Linked DNA regions of Caenorhabditis elegans. The protein of the gene in region 2 interacts with the protein of the main gene of each other region in a pairwise test. Each region holds a gene or a part of one and is shown on either strand. Other genes may lie near its edges.

What was found. The genes of interacting proteins can lie anywhere in the genome.
Region 1: the proteins of spe-29 (region 2) and spe-43 interact in a two-hybrid assay, tested with the Caenorhabditis elegans proteins (one study listed by BioGRID).
Region 3: the proteins of spe-29 (region 2) and spe-41 interact in a two-hybrid assay, tested with the Caenorhabditis elegans proteins (one study listed by BioGRID).

Annotation. Positions count from the first base shown.
Region 1 is NC_003282.8:13,137,146-13,145,840, forward strand, and holds spe-43 (uncharacterized protein), read right to left. Parts: upstream 5,210-8,695; coding exon 5,158-5,209; intron 5,110-5,157; coding exon 5,002-5,109; intron 4,898-5,001; coding exon 4,769-4,897; intron 4,720-4,768; coding exon 4,564-4,719; intron 4,518-4,563; coding exon 4,252-4,517; intron 1,962-4,251; coding exon 1,851-1,961; downstream 1-1,850. Other genes in the region: B0564.9 (F-box domain-containing protein), read left to right, coding at 226-375, 677-935, 1,468-1,677.
Region 2 is NC_003282.8:9,930,429-9,936,067, reverse strand, and holds spe-29 (uncharacterized protein), read right to left. Parts: upstream 2,189-5,639; 5' UTR 2,159-2,188; coding exon 2,073-2,158; intron 2,017-2,072; coding exon 1,920-2,016; intron 1,876-1,919; coding exon 1,858-1,875; 3' UTR 1,746-1,857; downstream 1-1,745. Other genes in the region: gon-1 (Peptidase M12B domain-containing protein), read left to right, coding at 1-76, 123-303, 352-488, 586-782, 831-1,001; F25H8.2 (H/ACA ribonucleoprotein complex non-core subunit NAF1), read right to left, coding at 2,304-2,551, 2,597-2,840, 2,888-3,033, 3,090-3,198, 3,248-3,628, 3,671-3,715; trmt-10A (tRNA (guanine(9)-N(1))-methyltransferase), read left to right, coding at 3,933-3,993, 4,040-4,236, 4,350-4,505, 4,552-4,821, 4,869-5,078.
Region 3 is NC_003281.10:3,437,161-3,447,675, forward strand, and holds spe-41 (Transient receptor ion channel domain-containing protein), read right to left. Parts: upstream 7,048-10,515; 5' UTR 7,031-7,047; coding exon 6,987-7,030; intron 6,834-6,986; coding exon 6,737-6,833; exon of another isoform or gene 6,689-6,736; coding exon 6,527-6,688; intron 6,079-6,526; coding exon 5,985-6,078; intron 5,933-5,984; coding exon 5,801-5,932; intron 5,693-5,800; coding exon 5,409-5,692; intron 5,356-5,408; coding exon 5,226-5,355; intron 5,109-5,225; coding exon 4,881-5,108; intron 4,716-4,880; coding exon 4,483-4,715; intron 4,438-4,482; coding exon 4,324-4,437; intron 3,870-4,323; coding exon 3,700-3,869; intron 3,650-3,699; coding exon 3,295-3,649; intron 3,249-3,294; coding exon 3,162-3,248; intron 3,060-3,161; coding exon 2,979-3,059; intron 2,299-2,978; coding exon 1,945-2,298; 3' UTR 1,851-1,944; downstream 1-1,850. Other genes in the region: K01A11.3 (USP domain-containing protein), read right to left, coding at 9,980-10,515.

The DNA of each region.
Region 1 (8,695 bases), 3.2 Mb from region 2:
GTTTTAAAACTACGCCTATGCATACCATGTGCCTATCCGTCTTCGCAGAAAATAGATAGCAGGCACATAGACAGGTAGGCGAGTAGGCATGAGCGTAGGCAGACAGAAATAGCCTTTCAAATCGACCGCTGACCGCCTTTCGCTTTTCAGGTAGGCAGGCAATCCGTATTTTACCTACCTACAATTCTTTTCGAACCGAAATTCAACAAACCTCACACTTTCCAGACTGAAAACCCTAAACCTGCAACGATCGTTTATCTCTCCTTGTGATCTCGAACATATTGTTGCCATGGCCGACACAATTACTCATTTGGATCTTTCGCGTTCAGTTAATCTACTGGATTGTAGGCAGATTGCAGAACTTGTCAATTTGAGGTAAGATTTTAAGTTTTGAAAATGTTATCAGTCAAACTTGTGCTCTTATACATGGGAAAACTGAAAAGCTTCAGCTGAAATAGATACCGTAACAGATCAAGGAAGATTCGTAAATCTGCTGTTAAAAAAAATTTAGGCTTATCGCGTAAACTAAACTAATGTTTCCATTTTTGTGATTTTTCAATAATCTTACTATTAGTCAGCTTAAGAGCAGTATACATATTGTAGGCAGGCACGTAGGCAGGCAGGCATAGAATAGGCACGCACGTACCCTCTCGAGAATCAAATAATCTATTTTCAGACATCTATCCCTGAAGAACAACAAAGAAGGAGTTCGAGACGATTCACTACAATTGATCATCAAGAATTGCTCAAAGTTGGAAGAATTATCGCTTGACTGTTGTGAATATCTCACTGTGAATTCGTTGATCACTTTGGGAAACCTCAACAATTTGAAGCAACTTTCCTTACCTGGAATTGTAAACGTCGATGATTCGGTTTGCTTGCAAATTTCAAGATGCTCGAAACTCACATATTTGAATATTAACTTTTGCAGAAGGGTGAGTAATTATTAATGGTTTTTGAAACACAAACAAAATGCAACTGTGAAAACAAAAATGGCAATATGCAAACTTTTTCCGTGTTTCGTAAAGTTCTGAATTTAATGACATATTGTTCACTTAATATACCTTTAAAAAGAGAAGAGCTCTAATAGCAGAAGTTTGCAAACTGCAGTAAGAAACTTTATCAGTTTCTTTCGAATCATCAAAAGCCGTCACTGTACTCGATGCTCCTACCTAATATGAGCTCCTAAACTAGAATAGCTCAAAAACATAATTGCTCTGATAGCAGAATTTTGCAAACCACAAGAGCCTTTATGAAGTTTTTCAGCAAAAATTATTGTCATTTTAATAAGGAACGAACCTTTTTTTACATTTCTGTATAAGTTTTGGATAAAAAAAGTTGGATTATCATATTGAAATAAGCCGGTTTGTGCGTTTGCCGAAAACAATCGCCGCACAGCCCTGTCCTCCACCAACTTTAAAAGTTAAATTGGACCAAAACGTTATTTCTCATCCCAATAATTTCCAGGTTCAAAAACGCGGTCTTCTATGTCTTCTCTCGTGTCTCACCTCTCTCGATCACCTTGAAGTCCTCGGAATCCGTGCCTACTCTCATCACCTTCTCGCCTTACATATCAACTTTCCAAAAACCATAGTCTCAGATTATGTCGAATCAATATCCATCATAATTCCACCTATTCCTCCTCCGATCCCTCCATCAGCTATTGTCAAAGCCTAGCAATTTGATTTCTGTGTTCTCCCCCCAGTCCCTAAGCCCGGTTTCAGAATTTTCAGGTAACGAATATCGCATTAAAAAGTCTAGTCATTTTCAGCCTTATTTTCCCCGGATTTCTTTTAATTTGTTAACTTGTTTAGATGTATAAAAAACGTATGTTTATATTGAAAACTATTTTAATCCAAGTACTTGACTGTAAAAAAAATAATGCTGATCAGAAAAATTAGCGGGAGCAGGAACATCGCACTGAGTTGAGCCACCACCCAGTCGTAATTCATGACCATCGTCTGAAAAAAAAAAGGATTTTTGAGCTTTTAGATAAAACATTGGCCTGCTAATTTTAGACATTTTCAAGTACACTTTCTTGAAGTGAAGTTTGCAATATGGAAAGAAAATTTTGAAAATTAAAAGGTGGGAGTTTTATTTTATTTTTTACATTTTGGGCTTTTTGACTAACTGTTGCGGTATTATAGAGGAACTGTAGGGTTGCTGTAGAGCTACTGTAGATACGGAAATATGTTTCTGTATGACTACTGTATGATTACTTCAGGGTTACTGTATGATTACTGTAGAATTACAAGAGTATCACTACAGGGTTATTGCATGGCTTGTAGTTTTTGAAAAAAGATTAAAATGTTCAACAAAAAAATTGATTGCAAAAAACCGTTAAAAAGTATATTATTTTAATGTTTTTAGATCGAGTCGGAAATTTTTTTCGAAAAACAGGAAAAAACCAGAAAAAACTAGGCTTCTTGTTTTTCAGGAAGGTATTGAAAAACGACATGAACCCGAAAGTAAAAAAACATTTTGGAAAACAAATATTTTTTCTTCGATTTTAAGAAAAGAAAACCGAAAAATAGACACATCTTGGCTTTTCTGTTTTTTTTTTTAATCTGAATGTTCATATTTGTAATTTTTGAAGGAATATAATTGAACCCCAAATTTCGTCTTTTCAATGAAAATTAATCTGCCAAGCAGCCTCTAATAAATGCCGAGTGTACAGACTCCGCCCCTTTTTCGCGTTTTTTCGCGTTTTTTTTTGGCTTGCGAAAAAATGTCACACACGTTTTCATTCACAACTCCTGAACCGTGTGACTTCATGCTCTAATATTTGAAATCCTACTAGAAATATTTTGCCCCACGGTGGAGCAGAAAACGACACTAAGTTCGGAGCAAAATTGAGCCCAGGGCGGCTTTCCCCAGTTTGAAAAAATTTTTTGTTGCTCTTTTTACCCCCAAAAAAGCATGTTTTAATTGAATTAAAATTCGGGTTTTGCTCGGTTTTGTTCCAAATTTCTGTGCAAGATACTACTCAGAGAGACTGATTTTTTGAAAAAAAGTTTGAGTTCATAAGTGCAAAAGAAAAAAAGTTGTGATAAAACAAAAGGCCAAAAAATGACATTTTGCCAAAAAAATTTTTTTTTCCGAAAAAGTAGTTTTTCGTCTTTATCTCAAGTTCTACTTCATCTTTTTTGATATTTTTTTTTTTACACCACGTAAAAAAGTACGCTGAACACGATTTTTAACTCAGAATTGGAAAAAGTTCTATGAGTCGGCCGAGCAAGACGAATAAGTGCCAAATTTTGCACACTTTCCCATCTTTGCGAATCTACTTTTTCAATCATAACTCGGTCAGTTTTCAAGTTTTCTTAGTTTTCTAAAAAATGACGTGTAGGTCTCATCAAGACGCATCGAGACATATAAAATTTGTAAAAAGTTCAGTGGGAAAATTTTTCAAGAAAAAAATAATTCAAAAATTTTGTACTGGGAGGAGTGGTTTCCTGGGTCCCCTGAACATTTTTTCCACTAAAGTTTCGCGGAATGTATTTTTAATTCATAGTTTTTGATTTTATTTAATGGAAGATGAAGTTTCGTCGCGTTAGCAATGCTCTGCCAAGAGATATTATTTTTTTTAATTTTCAGGCTAAAACTTGTTTTTTTCTATACATCTGTCTGTGTACAAGATATAGCCCTCAACTATACGTCTCCTTTTCGGGAATTCAATAATGAGTACAATCCTGTAATAAAATTTTCAAAAATTAGGTTTTCCGCTGACTTATCAGTGATAAACGGTTTTCGAACGTCTTCCCCAAATAGTAATAATTGAAGAAAGCGGAATCGAAAGACGACTTCCTCCAGAAAATGTTCTTCCCTACATCCCAGTTTAAGGTGTCACCCGCATGGCCGAGTGGTTAGTGCGTATGACTGCAGAAATTTTGGTTGTTGGTTCAATTCTACCAAGTGTCAATTTTTTTTTGTTTTTTGTGAGTAATCGGGATTCGAATAGAAATACTCAATTTTATACAAAATATGGGTACGTCTCCCCTAATATAAAGCCTCCTCAAACTTCAATCAATCAAAACTCAGCTTTAACTGATTCATCGGGTGCATCTGTTTTTGGTCAAACCGAACTCAAAAAACAAGAAGACTCCCATTGACCTACTGAAATTTTCACAAACCCTCTAACAGGTTCGAGGCGAAGTCGAGAACCTACGCCCGGCAAGGGGACTCGCCTTACACCCCTACAACTGGCGGGCCCGCAGGGCCCGCTAGTCGAAAACCCCCTTAAAAACTGACCGGATCCTCATAACACCTATACCGACACAAATCCTCCTTAACACAAACGAGTCCTTCTCCACAATCAGTGTTCAAATCGCATTGTTTCCAATGCTTCATCACTTCTTCTCCATTCAAATTCAATTGTCCTATCACCCACAAATTACCTGTCTCGTTGTGACAGAACATGAAATTGTATTTGGTATCCACTTTTTCCGTCGAAAAACAGTCCATGTTGGTTCGAAATGTCATACTTCCGAATGTCAGGTCGGTTGGGCGAGTTATTTCTGGAATTTAGTGTGGAATTAGAATTCAGTTTTTTTTTAAACTTACTTGGTGGGCAGCTATACCCCTTGTAACAGAGGCCACCACGTTGATCACTACTTCCAGAATACACCATTCCCTTTTCGACGTCTTTACACTTTTCTTGGCCATACAATGGAGTTATTCTGTCAGGACAAAACGGCGAATCAGCGGCTTTTGGGTCAACTGGAAATGTCTATATTTTAACTGAAATTACACGAAGAGGGTTACAAACCATTGCAGCAAAATTTGGTCTCAAGATCACACCAGCCACTGTATCTCTCCAAGGATGCTGTACAATCTCTTGATCGGTTACAAGGTTTGACAGGGGTGTCCGGCATGCCGCCAATGCAGATTTGTTTGGCTGAAGATAACAAGGTAAAATAAAGTTTTATTGCCCCCGGCATCTCTTGGGTTTTTTTAACCAGGGAGGTGCCGGGCGCTGTCTCTCTAATTCCTTAAACTCACTATCCTTGACACATCTCTTTTCGCTAAGCCCGGTGACATTCATACACGCTGCGAAATTTTTTGGGCAATCGGATAAAACTGTGCATTTTGGACTAGACGATAATGAAACTGAAATCCTTATAGCTTTAGTTAAAATAGAAATTAGGTAACACTCACAGTTTCCAGATGCCTGAGAAAATGGAATCAGGAAAATTACAGCTAGTATCATAATTGATAGTTTTAACGGAGAAATAATTTTCGAAAGACGGTGTAAACGTGGAAGAAAAATGGGGAAGTGGTTTTTTTTTTCAATGTTCACGTAAAACGGAGGCATGGATTAAATCGTGGACAAATTTATATTCTGAAAGAAGTTGACTGAAATTCAAGACCTAAAGTTTCAGGCTGTGTGAGTTTTTAGAAAGTATGGCTTTTGCTTTTTTCTTAGCTAAATGAAAGTTACATGTACCAACAATACATACGCCCACAGTAACCTTATAGCAACGCTTTGTAACCCTACAGTACCACTACAATAACTCTACAGTAACTAAACAGTAGTCTTACAATAACCGTACAGTAACCGTACAGTACCCGGTTAGTAAGCCTACAGTAGCACTACAATAACCATATCCCTTTATTAACTCTATACTAACCTTATAGTAATCCAGCTGAACCACTACAGTAATCCTGCTATTTTGTTCATCGCGGTACTCAATCAATGTCGGCTGCACAGTAGGTTCCCGCAGGTATACGCAGCCGACATTGATTAAGGTTTACGATGAAACACTCGTTCCCACGTATCTCTTGCGCCTCTCCTATCATACCTTTTTCGAATTTCAGGCATTAGGGGTACTGTAGATTTATTCTGTTGCAGTTGTAGGTGGCTATTTTAGTATATTGAGTTATTTATCAGAAACTCCCACTAGTACTTCTTGCACGGTCGAATAGTTTTTCATATTGATATTGAGAATTCACCCAAATATACGTGGCCATCTTTCAAAAATATATAATTTCATCATATTTTTATTCCAAAATATTCCAAGTATATCTGTTCTCAAAACCAACCTCATTGTTCACATATAACAACGTCACCAATTTCAATCATCAAAATTCACAAAAATAGAATTTTGAGGTGGTAATAATCCGCGTATTTTTTTTGTATAAATAGGAAAAGTCTGAGTAAGTGAAAAGGAATTTTTGATTAATTTTTGGTTATTTTGTGTCGTGTGTATGTGTGGTCGCCGATATAATTAATTTGATACGTTTTTTACGATGATGATGATTGCCCAATTTTGACAGAATATTTTAGCATGTTTTTGTTATGCCTACAAAAATTTCCAATTTTATGCGTTTTCTTATCCTGTGAAAATCTATCTCTGAAAATTATTTTCCTATTGGTGCACCTTTAAATGTAGAATCTGTTTAAAACCGCTCCTATAGTTCTGAAATGCCCAAATAGCAAGTAAAAGGTTTCAAATAATTCTTGAAATTTTTTGAAATTTTCAGTCAACGTTTTTGCAAATTTCCTAATTTATAGAAATTTGACAGAATTCAAATATAAAATTCGTACTTTGATTTTTTTTTTTTCGGTTGACACTCAAAATTATGAGCCACAATTTTTCACTGAAATTTTTAAAAAAAGTTAATGGGTTTTAATGAAATTGTTTGTGTGCAAAATCGCATTCAATTTAGCCGGTGAGGTGCTAAAAGGGCGAGTGAAGAGGCGCTCCTTGCGCCTCCGCCGGGATTAATTAGGTGTAGGTAGAGACCTTAAGGCTGCCTGAATTTTTAGTTTCCACAAACGATTTTAGTTCTGTGAATATGTTTTCAACAATCGCATACATATTTGCTATGAATTTAAGTTTTTTTACAAATCCAGGAAAATTTTCAAACTTCCAGAAAACATTTAGCGAATTCCGACATTTTTGTTTCAGAATACAATAAATATTTTCTTGATCTCAGGATTTTTTTCACGAGAAAAAAATTGATTCCAGAAAAAATCGTTTTGTAAAACTCCAGATAGCCATTTACCTAGACCTAGTTTTTACAATTTGGCATTCTCATTTTTATAAAATTGGATATATTCCATCCGGCCCGGGTGGCAAGGAGGTGGTTGCCATGTGGCCAGAAAAGTCGAGCCCACGTGGAGTGTTTAAAAATTTACTTCTTAAACTATTTTTGTCAAAATGTCAAAAACTCCTTTCACCGACTCATATTTTATTTTCGACAAACAATAGCTACCCAAGAAGAACATCTAAAAACAACCCTGCTCCTCTAATCCCTCAAACTATACATAGTTATATCTTTTCAAGTCAAATCTTGAAAATAAAATCTTAACTATCACCTATCTAACTGACCACAAATGCTACTTCACCTGAAAAGAGCAGGGGATTTCAAGCATGTCGCGCTTGTCCAGTTCATTACCAAAAGAGCATAGTAAACATTGAATGACGAACATGCATTGTTTCATTGTTTAAAGCTTTTCCCTAAAATATATCTATGAATCACGTAATCAAATACGTCTATGTCACTTGGAGCATAACACCTCGTGAGCTTAAGTGAGCTCCGCCTCCATATGTCTCAGAGTTCCCTTTTCTTTATAAAAACTGTTTCCTCATTGTTCCTTTCGCCCATAACAACTATAGGTTTCTCCTTGGCAATTCAATTATTTTTACGAATTTTCGCCGTTTTTTCTCATATAAATTATTTTTTTAAATGTGTTCTGATCGTTTGTTCGGCACGCTAGCGTTGGCTCTCATATTTTGTGGCTCAAATCTTTTTTATGGGCGGAGCCTATAAGGATCCGCTTACTGTGTTTCTAAGATTTTGGTGCGAAATTAATTTTTTTTTTTCAAAAAAGAATTTCGTAAAAATAGCTTTTATCACTCAATTTTGTTTTTTTTGGCACATCACAATGGGCGGGCCAGGTCCAAACCACTTTATGGGCGGAGTCTGCCCGTCTTATTCATTCTCCTTAGCTTCATGATCTTGGCGCGTGAAATTTGAATTTTCTTTCAAAGTTTTTTTTTCTGAAAATTTTTAGTTTTGTCTGAAAAAACAGTATTTCTTTTTCATATAATTTTTTCAAAAAATCCAAACTGTTTTACATACACTAAGGAAAATATAATATTTTGTCCCACCCACGCTCTGGGCGTGGTCCTTCAAGCTCCGACCTTTTTATAGGCGGGGCTTTGTTGGTCACGCCTATTTTTCTGTGCCGCTGAATTCCTCCAATCTTTACAATTTGAAACAATTAACTCATATTTGCCGACACTTTTGAATTTTTTCAAAATTTTGTTAAATTTCCCTAAAACTCCCTGCTAACTTTACCGCTTTTGCCCCTCCCCCCCCCCCTGTCCAAAAAACACTTGCAGAATATTTAATAAGGTTCATTCTCCTGAAAGAAAACCTGCGCCACACAAGTTTTTATTGTTTTCGGGGTCGCTTTGTGTGCTAGAACTTGAAAGTCATGGCAATTGATGTCACTTTTTAATATTTTTAATCCTCCGGTATCTTCTAATAATAGGTTTTTACTTTTTTGTAGAGCCAAGAGCCACTTGGTTTTTAGTTCAGTTAATTTTTGAACATGTTCTAGGTCGGAAAATCTTGAAGATGTCCCCCCTCTACTACAAAAAGGAAACTTTTCTACACATTCATAGTAATTTGATACATTTTTTTTGCATACCCTCACCAATTCACTATTACTTTTTAATCTTCA
Region 2 (5,639 bases):
GATGGTCGTCGAGTTGAACGAGTCAAGTGTACCACAAAGAAACCACGTCGAACTCAATATTGTTTTGAAAGAAATTGTAAGTTTTAAATTGACTCGAACATAGAATATTGTAAACTTTTCAGGCCTTCCGTCAACTTGTCAGGAGCTTAAATCTCAGAATGTTAAGGCTAAAGATGGAAATTACACTATTCTTCTTGACGGATTCACTATTGAAATTTATTGTCATCGAATGAATTCAACCATTCCTAAAGCTTATTTGAACGTTAATCCAAGAACCAATTTTGCAGAGGTTTATGGAAAAAAGTTAGTTTATTTCAGTAGATTTACAAATTTCTGTAATTGCGATTCCAGATTAATATACCCTCATACTTGCCCATTTAATGGTGATCGTAATGATTCATGCCATTGTTCAGAAGACGGCGATGCAAGTGCTGGATTGACGAGATTCAATAAAGTTCGAATAGATTTGTTGAATAGAAAGTTCCATCGTAAGTAATTTATACTGTACTTGAATTTATATGATCTGATTAATCTGAATTATTTATCAACAATTTAATACCCGTATACAGAAATTGAAACTTTCAGTGGCGGATTATACATTTGCAAAACGAGAATATGGTGTTCATGTGCCATATGGTACTGCCGGTGATTGCTACAGTATGAAAGATTGTCCACAGGGAATATTCTCAATTGATTTAAAATCTGCTGGTCTGAAATTAGTTGACGATCTGAATTGGGAGGATCAAGGTCATCGAACATCCTCTCGAATCGATCGTTTTTATGTGAGTTTTTGAAAACCTTAATTTGTTCAAAATCTATTCTATTTTAAGAACAATGCAAAAGTTATTGGTCACTGTGGTGGTTTTTGTGGAAAATGCTCTCCTGAGCGGTACAAAGGACTAATCTTTGAAGTTAATACAAAATTATTAAATCATGTGAAAAATGGTGGACACATTGATGATGAATTGGATGATGATGGTTTCTCTGGTGACATGGATTAATTTTTTCGATACCTAAAAGTGTCAAAATCTCGTATGAATCTCTACTTCTCTGGTCTCTTATTTCAAGTTTTTGATTCTTTTCTTTTTTTTAGTTTTTAATAGCATTACTTCGAATTTATTGTCATTCCCTCAATCACCTAACACTAGGTTTTCTACATAGTATGTTCCTTGAAAATGTTTCATGATCAAAGGTTACGGTACTTTTGACTGCGCCTTTTTTTCTAATCAAATATTGAAATTCGCTGAATTGTGAGATATATGGGGGCAATTTAGACATTCTTGAACAAAGTTTCTGAACAAAAAAGAAGCGGAAACTGTTTAAAATTTCTCGATATGTATATCCATCAATTTTGCGAATCGCTGAAGTTTGATTTTCCTGATCGATGTTTGCTCCTGTCCTAACTTCGCTAAGTAATTTAGTCTTATCGCAGGAGAATCTTTTTTGTTTTTATTTTTTAATTTGTTCAGTTCAATTACATACTCATTATAGCCTGAGCTTTAAATCTTTCCTTATTTCCAGTTGTTTTCTTTTTTTGCTTTCCTTGTTTTCTATGTTTCAAAAATCCTTGTTTTCCTATTATACTGCCTTTCCTTTTTTCACTTTTCCAACCCACCCGCTGCTTTCCTTCTTCCAGTTAATCTTTTTTTATTAATTGTTTTTTTTAGATATTCTAATTTTCAGCCAGCTTCTTCCTGCCGTTCCTTTCTTTTCTCTTTTTTTCTCTATTCCACTTTACCCACAAGTTTTTCATAGCACTGCATAATATTTATTAAACTTTAGTCAATTCAAATATTTTATTAAAATAGAGTAATAGAGCCTCGCCTTCTTCTGAACGTTATAATAAAAATATAAAATTCAATCGTGAAGTTTACGCTGAAAGAAAACATACAAAAATTAGAATTACTCGTGAAGCTTACTCGAATAACTTTTGGAAATATTCCAAACCATCCGAAAAATATGACTCCGACGAGAAGAACTGAGAAAGCAATCAAAGAAATTCCCCCAATAAGATCACTGAAAAAATACGATTTCCAGAGCATAGCTCACAGCTGCGAAGAATTTGAACTCACAGAGCCATTCCATAACAAATTGGACCATTTTCCCAGCTGCAGATGAACCAAATTCGGTTTCCGTTGTGAGTATGACTATTCGTCATTTTGATATTATAGCAATTTATGATTTTAAAATGTAAAAATGAAGTTTATTCACGCGTCAATTCCAAAAGTGCAACAATAACAACGAAAAAATGTTACAATATATCCAACAAAGTATTCAATGTGTAACGATATTTTAACAAAAAATTAAATTCCAAAACGTCCGTTGAATCCAGAATGACATCCGAATTCGGCATATGGATTTGATTCGGTTGATTGTGCTGGACGAGCAGGTGGCGGTGGCGCAGATGGCTGCTGAGGGATGGGCCCAAGATTATCCGATCTGGCAGGTGGATTCTGAGCAGAAAATCTAACTTTTTGTCCTCCGCGGCGATCTCGTTTTCGCCCTCTGTTCGAATCGAATCCTCTTGACATTTGACTAGCTGGTTGGGTATCTGAAAATTACTAGAATTTGAAAGTAAATTTCAATTATATCTTACATGTGGTGCGTTTAAATTCTTTCTCCGCTTCATCATCACTGAACTCCACGTCACTACCGATGCCAACCTGAGCCATCGTTTCACCAGCTTTTGCAACAGCTTCTTGATGATCAATGCGACGATTTAGGGATTTAATAGCATCCCTATTTGCTGCAGCAAGATTAAGTCCTTTGAATGGAGTTTTGGAAAATTGTTCTTCTGTAGGAGCATAATATACTTTCATGTCAATGGGTATCATCGATGCCTATAAAACTTCTGTTATATATTTTATTTGTCTACTAAAAGCTTCACCTCTTCACAAGAATTGAATCGAATAACGTATTGTGGATTTTTGACTTGTCCAAAAATGTCATAAATTTGTCCCAACGCATTTCCTTTTTGATCGAAAAGAAATGAATCGAAGTCGAGAACTTCTGTGCATGTTGAAATGATAACAACTGAAATACCAATTCAATTAACATTTTATATAAGGTTGACATTTTTGACAATTTACCTTGACAATCCACGACTTTGCTTACAAAACCAAATTCCAGCAATTGTCCTTTACATTCAATACTGAGATTCTCGAGTGGTGGCATATCATCATACTCGTGAACATTACGCTAGAAATCTAATCATTCGAAAAAACATTTCAAAATAATGAAACCTTACCGTTTTTTGTGACTTTTTTGGCTTCCGCTGCTTTTTTCCATTTTCATCCGGGTACTCTGACTTGTGTGTCTTCTCAATAATCTTTGCGGAAAACTTTACTAGCCTGTCAAACTCTTCATCAGAATCAAGTGCACCGGCTCGTAAATCGTTGATATTTTCGAAATCGCTATCATCTCCAGAAAACTCAAATTCACTTTCAGTGTCGCATCCGAAGCTTTTCAATGATGGAGCCTGGCGAATTTCAGTAGGATTCACAACGGTGATAGGATCAACAAGATCCAAAAGTTGATCGACGATTCCATCTTCTGTCTTCATTCCAATTTTTGCGGGAAGTGTTGGTCGAGCACAGAAAGCAAGTGGCACAGGATTTCGATCGATAGTCTAAAATATGGAATATTTTTGGAATTTAAAAGGAAAACATACAATTGAATCATCCAGATTTTCGACTTTAATTGTTTCTTCCTCCATTCTTGATAATATTTTTGCAATGAGTGTAAATAAAAGAATTAACCTAAAAACGAAATAAATTTTTTAATTGAAAAAATTTTTGACGCGAAATCGGAGTGTCGTTTGTTAGTTTGTCATTGGAGCATGTTTGCATTTCACTGATTTCTCTCATTTTTTTTTTTGAAAACATTAAAAAATATATTCTAAATATCATTTTGGCATCTTTAAGTGGAAAATTATGTCGGAGGAAACAATCGAAAAATTTGAAGATAATGTGGAGCATCAAAATCAAGACCAACGTGAGTTTTCCGTTGCATCAGTATGTATTGAATTATAATATTCCAGCAGTACCAGAGGGAATGTCGAAAAAGCAACTGCGACGTCAAAAATACAAGGTGAAATGGGAAGAAAAGAAGTTAGTCAAACGTGCAGCGGAAAGAATTCGAAAAAAGGAAAAACGAGCAGCGCTGAAAGAATCGGGAGATCTTTCAAAGTTGAGGAAACGAAAAGATTTCAGAACAATGGCTCAGTCTAATAGCAAGGTAATATACGATTCCAGTAATTTGTTTAACATTAACTTTTGAACATTCATACAGTAAAAATGTTTTCAACTGGTAAAATCTGACAATTTCCTTAGACTAAAACAACTTTTTAGCAACGAATTGCTTTGGACATGTCATTTGACGATTTGATGATTGAAAAGGATCAAAAACGTACAGTTCAGCAAATCGGATGGTGTTATACTGCGAACAGACACAGTCCTGATCCATTTCAATTTCATGTTGTGGGGTTCGATGGACCATCGAGAAAAGTAATTTTGTTTTCGCACAACAAGTGTTTTAATTGGTTTTGTTGAGATTTATGATGGTAATGAGCACAACCTGAATCAAGACATCCATCTTCACCAAGAAAAATTGGAAAATTTATTTAAACCAGAGGAAATAGTTTATTTGACTTCTGAATCTGAAAATGTCCTGAGCGATCTTGATGATACGAAAGTGTATGTAATTGGAGGAATTGTGGATCATAATTCTCAAAAAGGATTGTGCTATCGAATCGCTCAAGAAAAAGGATTTGGTCATGCAAAATTGCCTTTAGATGAACATCTTCTCATGAAATCTCGACGGGTAATCGGTTTCCATATTTTTGTCCCATAATATTCTTCTGATTTCAGGTACTCACTATCAATCAAGTCTATGAAATTCTGGTTCATTACTCTGTTCACAAAAACTGGAAAGATGCTCTTCTTTCAATTATTCCAGAACGGAAGAATGCTCAATTGAAAGAGGAAGTTGTGGAAGAAAAGCCAGAAAGCCTAGAAGAAATTGGAAAATTAGACACAGAATCCACCGATACTGCCACGGGCTCTCCTAAAATAAATTAATCATTTTCATATTTTAAAATTACACCCAAATGTTGTTATTATTTGTTAACCATTTTCGTTATTTTTTATTGCTTATGAATTTTTCAAAATCAATTCGGATAATATATTGACTACACAACCAGCAATTATAGAACAATTTCGCTCTTTTTGAATGGCATGATTCCCGCCCAATCCGGATTTCAATCTCGTTTTCCATACATTTTCAAAGGCTTGGCAGATTGATGTTCCGTTCCGTCGGTTTTTCACTTTTTCATATTTTTAGATTGCTTCAAGTAAATATTTGTTTTGAGAGAAGGAGTTCAACTTTCAGGATTTTTTTTATTTTTTATATTGTAATTTCACAAGATTTTGGCATGCTTTTTTAAAGGCACACGGATTTGTTCAGATGGGTCTCGGGGCGCAAAAAAATTTATGGTAGTTTTTTTGCAACTGCTTTCATGGTAATTTTGCTTACATTTTTCAATAAAATTCCTTTTTAGCGAAGTTTATCTGTTTTTAAATTAACTTTTCTCTTTTTTCAGACCAACAAACAAGAAATACTCACATTCTTAATTAAATTAG
Region 3 (10,515 bases), on a different chromosome or scaffold from region 2:
GACCATAACCAAAATTAAGATTCTACGCAAAGGCAGGTAGTCAAGGACGTGCCTGCCTTGCCTAAAATAGACAAAAATGGAAACATTTCTGTTTTGTGGTAACTAGCAGCAGCATCAGCGGGAAACCCTCCCCACTCCGCCTATACTCAAAAATCCCATTTTCCATGCCATTTGGGAATTCTTCTTCTTCTCTTCTCTTTTTTTTTGGTGAAAAAAGATGAAACTGAGAATGGGAACACGTCATCGACAATTGATGGACATGGATTAGATGGGTGGAAAAGTAGCGAAGTGAAGGGGGGGCAATGGGAATATTGTTGAGAGAGTTCTCATGGGAATACTCTTTTGGTCAAACAAAGTTAGAGCAGAGGAAGTAGAGATGTATAACTATATGATAATCAAAAATCAACAAACCTTGTGCATTTTGTCGCAAGATATGGTATTTGCGTACTTTTGGGGCTACCGTACTGCACGAAAGTCAAAAAAGTTCTGATTTTCGCCGATTTTCACTACAAAATCCGAATTCCTCACTATTTTTTACCCCTGTCCATTGATTTTCATAGATCGGATTCTAAAACCGCTAAGTTGTGCATTTTGTCGTAAGATGTGGTGTTTGCGTACTATTGAGGCTACCTGCGAAAATCAAATTATGAGCTAGTGTTTCAGAAAAAATGTTTCAAGGGTAAAAAATTGCGGAGAATTCGAATTTGATAATAATTAGCAAAAAATTCCAGTTTTGAAGAGTGAATTTTTAGATTTTTTTGTTCCTAGTTTCACAATTTCCTATTTTTTTTGATATTATACAACAAATTGGCAAATAGATTTCATCTTTAACCTCCACACTTTGAACTTGACACTAATCGTTTATCAAATCATTTTGGTAGACACGAAGAACATGTGTCAGGAGACGAATGTTTGGAAGATGGGCATATTTTGAAAACATTTTTAAAATTTTTTTTTGTGTGGGAAAGTTTCATTGAATCAGGGCAGATGGCAGGCACACGCACTTTTGTTTATGGGTCTCGCCACGATTGTTTTAACAGGTAGACATGTGTGCCTACAAGCTACAATATACATGCAAAAGCAAAGACAATAAGCGGTAGGTAGGTTAGCATTAGGCATAACTAGGGCAGGTATAAAGTAGGCAGGCGCTCGGCAGGTAGGCATAAAGTAGGCACATAAAATGAACATAAACACATAATAAAACTGCGGTGGAAAATGATCCATATCGAATAATTCTTCTTCGATTGCTTCCTTCATTTAGCTGAGAGGGGGTATTCTTTCTCTGTCTTTCTTATCATATTATCACTTTGATTTCTCTGTTCTTCCCCTTTCTATCTCTCTTTCAAATCCATTTCCAATCGTTTACGATCATAATTATTGACTTGCGAAGCCAAGAGGAGGCTGTAACAAAAGTTGGAAGGGCGGATTCATCGATGATCGACGACAGCAATTTGGAACTGGAATGGGAACTATTTGAATCGGGTGATGATGATATGATGGGGAATACGTATAGTTAGAGGAACATGTATGGGTATTGTTGCGTACATGCATACCTTATGATTGCCTACATGCCTACATGAAGGGCCTATCTCAAGTCTGCCGACATCCCTAACATCAACTGGCTGCATATATGCTTATCTGAAGCCGGCCTGCCTACCTGTTCGCCTGCCTATCTTGAGCCTGTTTGTCTATTTCTTACTGATCTTAAACCTACCTACCTCCCAGCTTGCCGATCCATCACATCGAAGCTGCTTGTTAGCTCGCCTGCCTGCCCACCTGCCTGCCTACCTCCTGCTCGTGCTTTGCTGTATTTTATCTATCAGAATTGAATAGCAAATAAATCACAAAAGTTCCAATTTCTCGATTTATTTCAGTTCGAAGTCATAATAAACACAATGGATACATAATTAATATTTTCCGCTTAAAACAAAAACTCCGATTGCTTCAGACACCGAGGAATGTGACGTCGCGAGCTCTCGGAATGCTAGCAGATAATTCCGAAGACATAACCTGTTTAGAAGATGGAACTGGAGAATCGATTCCAGTTCTAGCTAGAACCGGGTTGTTTTGAGGTTTGTCATCCTTCGGAGCCACTTTAGTTCCTGCATCAGCTGCAGCAGCTGGACCCGGTGTCTTACTCTTAGGCACATAATACTGGACAGTGGTGTATTCCTTGTATCCTTCAGCTTCCATGGTTCGAGATGACCTCATTTTGAATCCTTCGAAAGTGTTGTCCATAAGGAAGGAATGGGCTCCGGTTGTGAGGAATGTCACTCGAGGCGGTTGTTTTTCCTCTCTCTGAAAATTCCATAAATTATATGGAAATGCATGCCTGCCTGCCTACGCCTGCCTTATGTCTACACAAGTACCAACTGAGTTAGATACGGTCGTCGGTAGACGTTTTCAGACTACAATCGGAAATAGGCGGTAGGCAGGCACGTAGGCAGGTACGCAGAGTTGAGGGGGGCACGTAGACTTTGAGGCATACTTGTATAAGTCACGTAAATAGGCAGCCAAACTTAAGGTAGGCACAGGCAGGCATGTTTGAGGTGCCTGCCTGACTTTAAGGCCCACCCCTCTAGTACCCAGGCCTGCATGAAAAGCTCAACAAACCCAAAAATGTTATTCCTAAACCAGCCGTGGACCGCACCTCCGGCGCGGCCCCCGACTTCTGGGGCTGAAAACTAACTTTTCTGAAACTACCGTAACCCTACAGTATTCCTACCGTACCACTATTGTACCACTACAGTACCCCGACTATATCCCTACACTAACCCCAACTCACTATCCCCACAGAAGCCAAAACTTCACAGACTACAAAGACTACATAGACTACAAACTATGGACACACAGAATAAGCGCTTTATATATAGTAAATGAAATGGTTTCGAAATTTTCAAAGGCTGGTGCAAATGCGCGTAAACTTCTTTCCAGACCTACAGTATACCGCATGCCTGCCTACGCCTAGCCAAGCTTACATGAAATTCGGATCTCCAAATCGACTTGTACTTGCACTCCTTGGAAGCAACGAATCGAGCGAAAACCACCATCAGAAGTTGCTGAAAATACACAAAATTTTATGTGTCAGCTCATTGTACAAATAGGCAGCAGGCAGGTTCGTAGGTAGGCGTGCCTGCCTACAACTCAAGCTTCAGACTCACCATGTACTGCTCATCTGCTGCCTGATCCTCAACATCATCATTTGCCGGCTTCTCGCCCCACGCCGGTGAAGCATAGTATCTCTTGAGCTGAAAGCAGAGGTTTTTGAAAAATTCCAATTCGAATTCAACGTACCAAATTCCGATGCACAAAATGAGCAACTACAAGAATCAAATTAAGCGGTGGCGGAGCCGCCATTTCCCACGAGAGAAACTCGGAATAAATAGCTGCTCGTGTGAATTTGAACTCCATTTCCTCATTATCCAACACCTCATCAGCTCCTTTCACAAGTATCGATGTCATCAAATTGAGTACTGTAATTATCAGAATTCCGTGATAAACAGCAGCGAGAATTTCGAAAGTTGACGAGTTCAAAGTATGTTTCACAGGATCCATGTTTGGACCAGTGTTTCCAACAACTGTAGTGAATGTTGAGGGTCCCAAGTAACCGAAAATTGACCAGAACAGGTTTTTAGAGGATGTTCCAATTCTGAAAATATATATGTTGTCTCAGATAAAATATAGAAAAAAAGAACTGACGTTTCATAAGAATCCGTGGTCTTTGTATAATCCTGATCTCCTATTTTCATGGTACTTCGATTCAAGTATGGGTCGACGATAATATTCAATCCAACAGAAAACGAAACGATGATTGCGACCATGATGAGTATGTATGTGTACGTCTTCCCAACACATTTTCCGACAGATATCTGGAAAAATTAAGTTTACTGTAGGACTACTGTAGTGGTACTGTAGGATTACTGTGATATTACTGTGGAACGAGTGTAGGATTACTTTAGGATTACTGTAGGACTATTGTAAGATTATTGTAGTAGCACTGTAGGATTATTTTAATTTGGGAACAACTTAGTATTAGACATATGAATGAGTAGTGTAGGAGGACTGTAGGACTACTGTATAACCACTGTATACTTGCTGTAATGGCACTGTAGGACTACTAGGATTACTGTGTTGGGCACTGTAGTAGTATTGTAGGGATACTGTAGCGGTACGATGACTTGAAAATATTCAGTTTCCCGCTGCCAAAGCACACACAATAGACAGTAGGTAAGTATCTGGGCAGGCTGTCTGCCTATGTAGCTCAAGAGACTTTTTTTGTTTTTGCGGTCAAAACATCGAATTCTACGCGCAAACTCCACTTACAACAGATCCACCGATTGATTTCATCATCTGAGCATAGTAAAAACATTTTAAAATACTCAGCACACAGGCGATCGCAAGACATATCTCATGGAGAAGTGAGAATTCGAAAGATGGCTGAAAATTTCAACTAATTAATTATTCAAAAGATTTCAGCCGAACCCAGTGCATTCTGTCAACGGAACTCGGATCGAAAGCTTCTCGTTTTCCCCATTTTCCAGTAAAAAATATCAGTGAAAACAAGAAAATAAAGATCAAAGCCGCATCGAACCATCTCCACCAGAAGGCAAAAAATCCATCTCGTCCGACTCTATAGAATAGAATTCCCTTCTCCAGAGCTAATCCCATCACATAGGCGTACATGAAGATTTCGAGTGCTTGTACAGTTACTTCAACTGAAAAAATTTCAATTTCACAAAAAATGTTGTAAGCTTAAGCCCGATCTTAAGCCGAAGCCTAAGGTGAAACCTTAAGCCTAAGCCTACGCCTAACCCTAAGCCTAAGCTTAAACCTAAACCTAAACCTAAGCTTTTAACTATGAAAATTCAAAATCCACTTACTACTATCAGTCCATGCAAAGTAGAAACCGATTGTTGGACGGAGAATTGCGGCGATGAGGAAGACCAAGTACATTGTGATGTGAGCAATGAATCGAGCAAGTGGAACGCACATTGTTGTACCCTTTGTTGGCATAAATGCATGAAGCATCACAAGGAATGGCATCAGGATACAGGCTCGCAGAAAACGCCAAGCATCTCGTTTTGGCTTGATTCCATAGTTGTACCAGTCTGAAAAGTGTATGAGGTCAGCTATAAGGCCATTAGAAAGTCTATGGTAGGTAGGCACGATTACGCCTCATCATCGCCTACGGCTCGCCTCAGGACTTCACCCTCAAAAACAGTTACCTGATCTGAAGACAGACTTAATAGTTGTCTGTGAATTGGTGGAGCACGTGAATTGTCTCATTTGAGAATCCATAGCCATTTGAAGACGCGGTGATGAGATTTCAGTCATTCTTTCCGGGCAGTAGTTTCTCTGAAATTCAATTTAAATTCTCCCAATATCTAAAATTTAACACAAATTCTTACATTAGCAACCATCATATTGAACTCGTCGACTCTCCATGCTTGATCTGAAATTCTGCACAAAAACCGTTGCACATTCATCTCGAGGTCTCGATAGGTTTCCACGTATTCCAGCTGATCATCGCTCGCCAATTGTTGAAGGTCTCGGGCGACAGCACACGTGGCAGCGAACACGTCATCAGTTGCCAGCCACAGGTAGGCTTCAGAGGACAGTGCACGCATGACGTCGACGAGGCGAGTTGATGAGTGGGTTGTTACGGTTTCCCGTTTGCAGGTTTTGCATTCACCTGCAACACTTTACCATTTTTGCGCGTAGAATATGGTGCATTCGGTCCTACCGACGCATGTTCGCTCTTTTGCAATGTTTGCGCGTCAAATATGATGTTTGAACTCACAAGTAATGAAATGTGGTATCTGAATACAATGTCCTCTAGTTATAAGACACTGAACAATCGAAAAATTATTCAAAATGCATGCCAGCATCAGTGGAGTCATATGTGGTGGAAAATGTGGAGAATTAGCAGATCCTGAAATTAGTGTGATGCAAATGCGCTTTAATACAAACTTCCTCACACTTACCACTTCTTTCAAGGTATGGTGCATCGACGAAAAGTACGAGAACAAACTCGACTAGTGGACGACTTCCGACGGCAATCGATAATAGAAGAGCTTCCTGTAATTCAAAAGGGCGTTACAGGACGTAGGCAAGCGTATGTGTTGTAGGCGGGTGCAGGCTATCATAGGTGGATGTAGGCAAAGTAGGCGGTCGTAGGCGGTCATAAGCGAGTGTAGGCGGGCGTTAGCAAACCTTACCTGGTCTTGAGAGGTCTTTCAGGGGTGTAGGCCGGCGTACGCGGACGTAGGCGGATGTAGGCGAGTGTATGCGTTGTAGGCGGGTGCAGGCGTTCGTAGGTGGATATAGGCAAAGTAGGCGGGCGTAGGTATGCGTAGGCGGACGTACGCTTTCGTCGGTGGATAGCCAGCCTTACCGGGCCTTTAGGCCTTTAGGCGTTGGCTGCCGTATGCGGGCCGTTATCGGGCCATTAGAGGGTCTTTAGGGTGTAGGCGGTAGGTGGGCCGGCTTAGGCCGGCCTTTAGCGGTCTTTCAGGCGTTGACGAACTTTAAGAGATTCTTCAGAAGATGTATCCATTAGAAGACTTTGAAGAGAAGAAAGGCGACCATCGTCCGGGCCATGTGGAAGCAAAATGCCCAAAAAAGATCGTACTTCAGAGTATAATTTGCTTTTCACAGCCTTATAGAAGTAGGCCATGGCTTGCAGAACCTGAAATTTATCTATTTGTCCTGTAAAATCTGATAAAGTCCTGCGTACAACTTGATCATTTTCATGCCATTTCTGATGACCATCGTATCCTTCATTATTGTCTGCGTCTACACCTCTATATTTTCCAAGATACTCTTTTATTGCGCTGAAAAAATGTAAATTTGTTGATGAAAACTTGGGTCCTGACACGAGCGAAACATCTCGTCTACAGTACCCGATGGTTGGCGCCGTGGAAGAGGTTTCGCACGGCCATTCTCCCATTTCCAAGGATCCTTGCAAGGCGATTGAAAGCACTCACCTTAATTTTAGCCTCGTAGATTCCTTCTTTTCCTTTCCCACCATTTTTGGAAAACGAAAACCTTGAAATAAATATATTGATTTTTTTTCACTCCGACATTTTTTTCCACGTATCCCTCCCCCCTCAATCCAGAATATAGCGGCGGTAGAAAAAAGTTCACGCCAATTCAAAAATTAAAATGTTTCGTTTTTTATTGGAACACGGGAAACTTTTTTTTTAGTTTATCTTTTATATTTTTCAAAATCTAGATGAACGCAAACGCGCTCCACCGTACAAACCGAAAATTGCCCAGTCAGGAGATTTTCAATCAAACTACTATTCAGTACTAGAAAAAAGAGAGCATTTTCTTGGGCTCTATAGCAGTGACGCGCACAGTAACATGATCAAATTCTCCAGTCTCTTCAGTCTCAGTCATCTTCTGCGTCTCGATGGCCACATATGGTGCAGGTGTACGAAATCGCTGAATAAAATAAGATACTTAGAATGAACCGTTCAAGCCAAGAAGAATGCCGCCCCAAAGATCGCTCAATACCAGCAGATCATCGAGACCCTTGGATCCAGTTAAATCCATGAAAAATCTGGTTTGTTTGAGATAATAAAATTGTTTACAATCCAATCCAAAAAATTATTAAGAAACTTTATTTTATTGCCATAATCAATTTACTATATATAAAGCGCGTGTCGTTCTGTCCCTATGTAGTTTGATCTTTGATCTTTGGTCTTTGAACTCTGTAGTTTGTAGTCTCAATCACACAAGAGGGGTCACATAGGCCCCGCCCCTTTTGTGACGTCATCACAAATTGGCGGGAATTCAAATTTTCTGAGAAAATATTTTGGCGGGAATTCAAAATTTTAAATTTTGAAAACATTTTGGCGGGAATTCAAAATTTAATTTTTTGAAACCATTTTGGCGGGAATTCAAAATTTAATTTAAATGTGTCATATCAATTTAAAATGTCAAGGTACTGTAGTGTTTTAGGGGTACTGTAGGATTACTGTAGGGTTACTGTAGTTTAGGAAAAATTGATTTTTAAACATTTTAAGAGGTATTGGCTTGGAAGTTGGTAGATGGTAATGTCAAGGTACTGTAGTGGTACTGTAGGGGTACTGTAGGGGTACTGTAGGATTACTGTAGGGTTACTGTAGTTTAAGGAAAATTGAATTTTAAACTTTTGAAGAGGTGTTGGCTTGAAAGTTGGTGGATGATAATGTCAAAGTACTGTAGTGGTACTGTAGGGGTACTGTAGGGGTACTGTAGGATTACTGTAGGGTTACTGTAGTTTAAGGAAAATTGAATTTTAAACTTTTGAAGAGGTGTTGGCTTGAAAGTTGGTGGATGATAATGTCAAAGTACTGTAGTGGTACTGTAGGGGTACTGTAGGATTACTGTAGGGTTCCTGTAGTTTCAGGAAAATTGAATTTTAAACTTTTGAAGAGGTGTTGGCTTGAAAGTTGGTGGATGATAATGCTAAGGTACTGTAGTGGTACTGTAGGGGTACTGTAGGATTACTGTAGGGTTACTGTAGTTTAAGAAAAATTGAATTTTAAACTTTTGAAGAGGTGTTGGCTTGAAAGTTGGTGGATGATAATGTCAAGGTACTGTAATGGTACTGTAGTAGTACTGTAGGATTACGGTAGGGTTACTGTAGTTAGGAAAAATTTGAGTTTTAAGCATTTGAAGAGATATTGGGTTGGGAGTTGGTAGATGATAATGTCAAGGTACTGTAGTAGTACTGTAGGATTACGGCAGTTAGGAAAAATTTGAAAATAAAAATTAAAAAAAGATAAAATTTTGGCGGGAATTCAAATTCTAATTTTTTGAAAATAATTTGGCGGTTATTGAATTCCCGTGGAATTCACCTTTCGTGGTGAGACCCATCGTGGTGAGACCCGTCGTGGTGAGACCTTTCGTGGTGAGACCCTTCGTGGCGAGACCCATCGTGGTGAGACCCATAGTGGTGAGGCCTTTCGTGGTGAGACCCTTCGTGGTGAGACCATTCGTGGTGAGATCCATCGTGATGAGACCTTTCGTGGCGAGACCCATAGTGGTGAGACCTTTCGTGGTGAGACCCTTCGTGGTGAGACCCTTCGTGGCGAGACCCATCGTGGTGAGACCTTTCGTGGTGAGACCCTTCGTGGTGAGACCCTTCGTGGTGAGACCTTTCGTGGTGAGACCCTTCGTGGCGAGACCCATCGTGGTGAGACCTTTCTAGGTGAGACCATTCGTGGTGAGACCCATCGTGATGAGACCTTTCGTGGCGAGACCCATAGTGGTGAGACCTTTCGTGGTGAGACCCTTCGTGGTGAGACCTTTCGTGGTGAGACCCTTCGTGGCGAGACCCATCGTGGTGAGACCATTCTAGGTGAGACCATTCGTGGTGAGACCCATCGTGGTGAGACCTTTCGTGGCGAGACCCATCGTGGTGAGACCCATAGTGGTGAGGCCTTTCGTGGTGAGACCCTTCGTGGTGAGACCCTTCGTGGCGAGACCCATCGTGGTGAGACCCATAGTGGTGAGAGCTTTCGTCGTGAGACCATTCGTGGTGAGACCTTTCGTGGTGATACCCGTTGTTCGTGGTGAGACCTTTCGTGGTGAGACCTTTCGTGGTGAGACCCTTCGTTGCCAGACCCATCGTGGTGAGAGAGATTCGTGTTTGATATCATGTTGGCGGGAGCTGAGGAGTTGGTGGGGGATGATGTCAAGGTACTGTAGGGGTATTGGGGAATTACTGTAGGGTTACCGTTGTTCAGGAAAAATTGACTTTTATGCTTTTGAAGAGGTGTTGGCTTGAGAGTTGGTGGGGGACATGCTAATGTCAAGCTACTGTGATATTTTTTTAGCTGCCAGAATGTTCGAAAAAGTAATAGTTTCAATTTTTTCATGTGACATTGATAAAAGAATATTTGGTGTTTTATGTGTCGAACACTTTAAATTTTGCCAGTCGTTGGCCGCGCCGTAGGCGCGGTCAGCGGCTGGTTTTTAACATAAGAGATCAAGTATCAACCTTCTCGAAAAGAAACAAGTGCCCGATGGTCATGGCTGTCCAGTTAATTGGGTGCTCGTAGATTTCGGTTTCTTTATCGTCGTTGTGTCGCGTCCAGTAGTCTCCATGACGAGTCCAAGAGATTGCATGATACTCGCCACCACCACACATCTCCACTTCAACGAATCCGACAAGCTTCAACTTGTTCCCCAGAAAAATGTTTGGCTCTCTTGGGTCCAACAACCCCGTGTCCTGGCCCGGCCTTCTGCGGATGTTCACCAATAGGAACTTCGAATTTTTTAGCTCGACCCGCCATTCCCTTTGTCCCAGAAAGTCACCCTCGACTGTGTGCTTTTTCAGGCACTTCTGCTCTTTACTCGCTACTACGTCTAAGAATGTTCTCCTCTTGCCCAGTGTGTATTCCAAGCAAGAGGTTCGTTTCTCTATGGACAGCTGGTATTCTCCGCAGCCTCCGGTGTAACCCTTGAGCGTTGAGATCAGTTGGTAGCTGAACATTGAGCAAAGTGGTTCGTGGCGGGCACCAC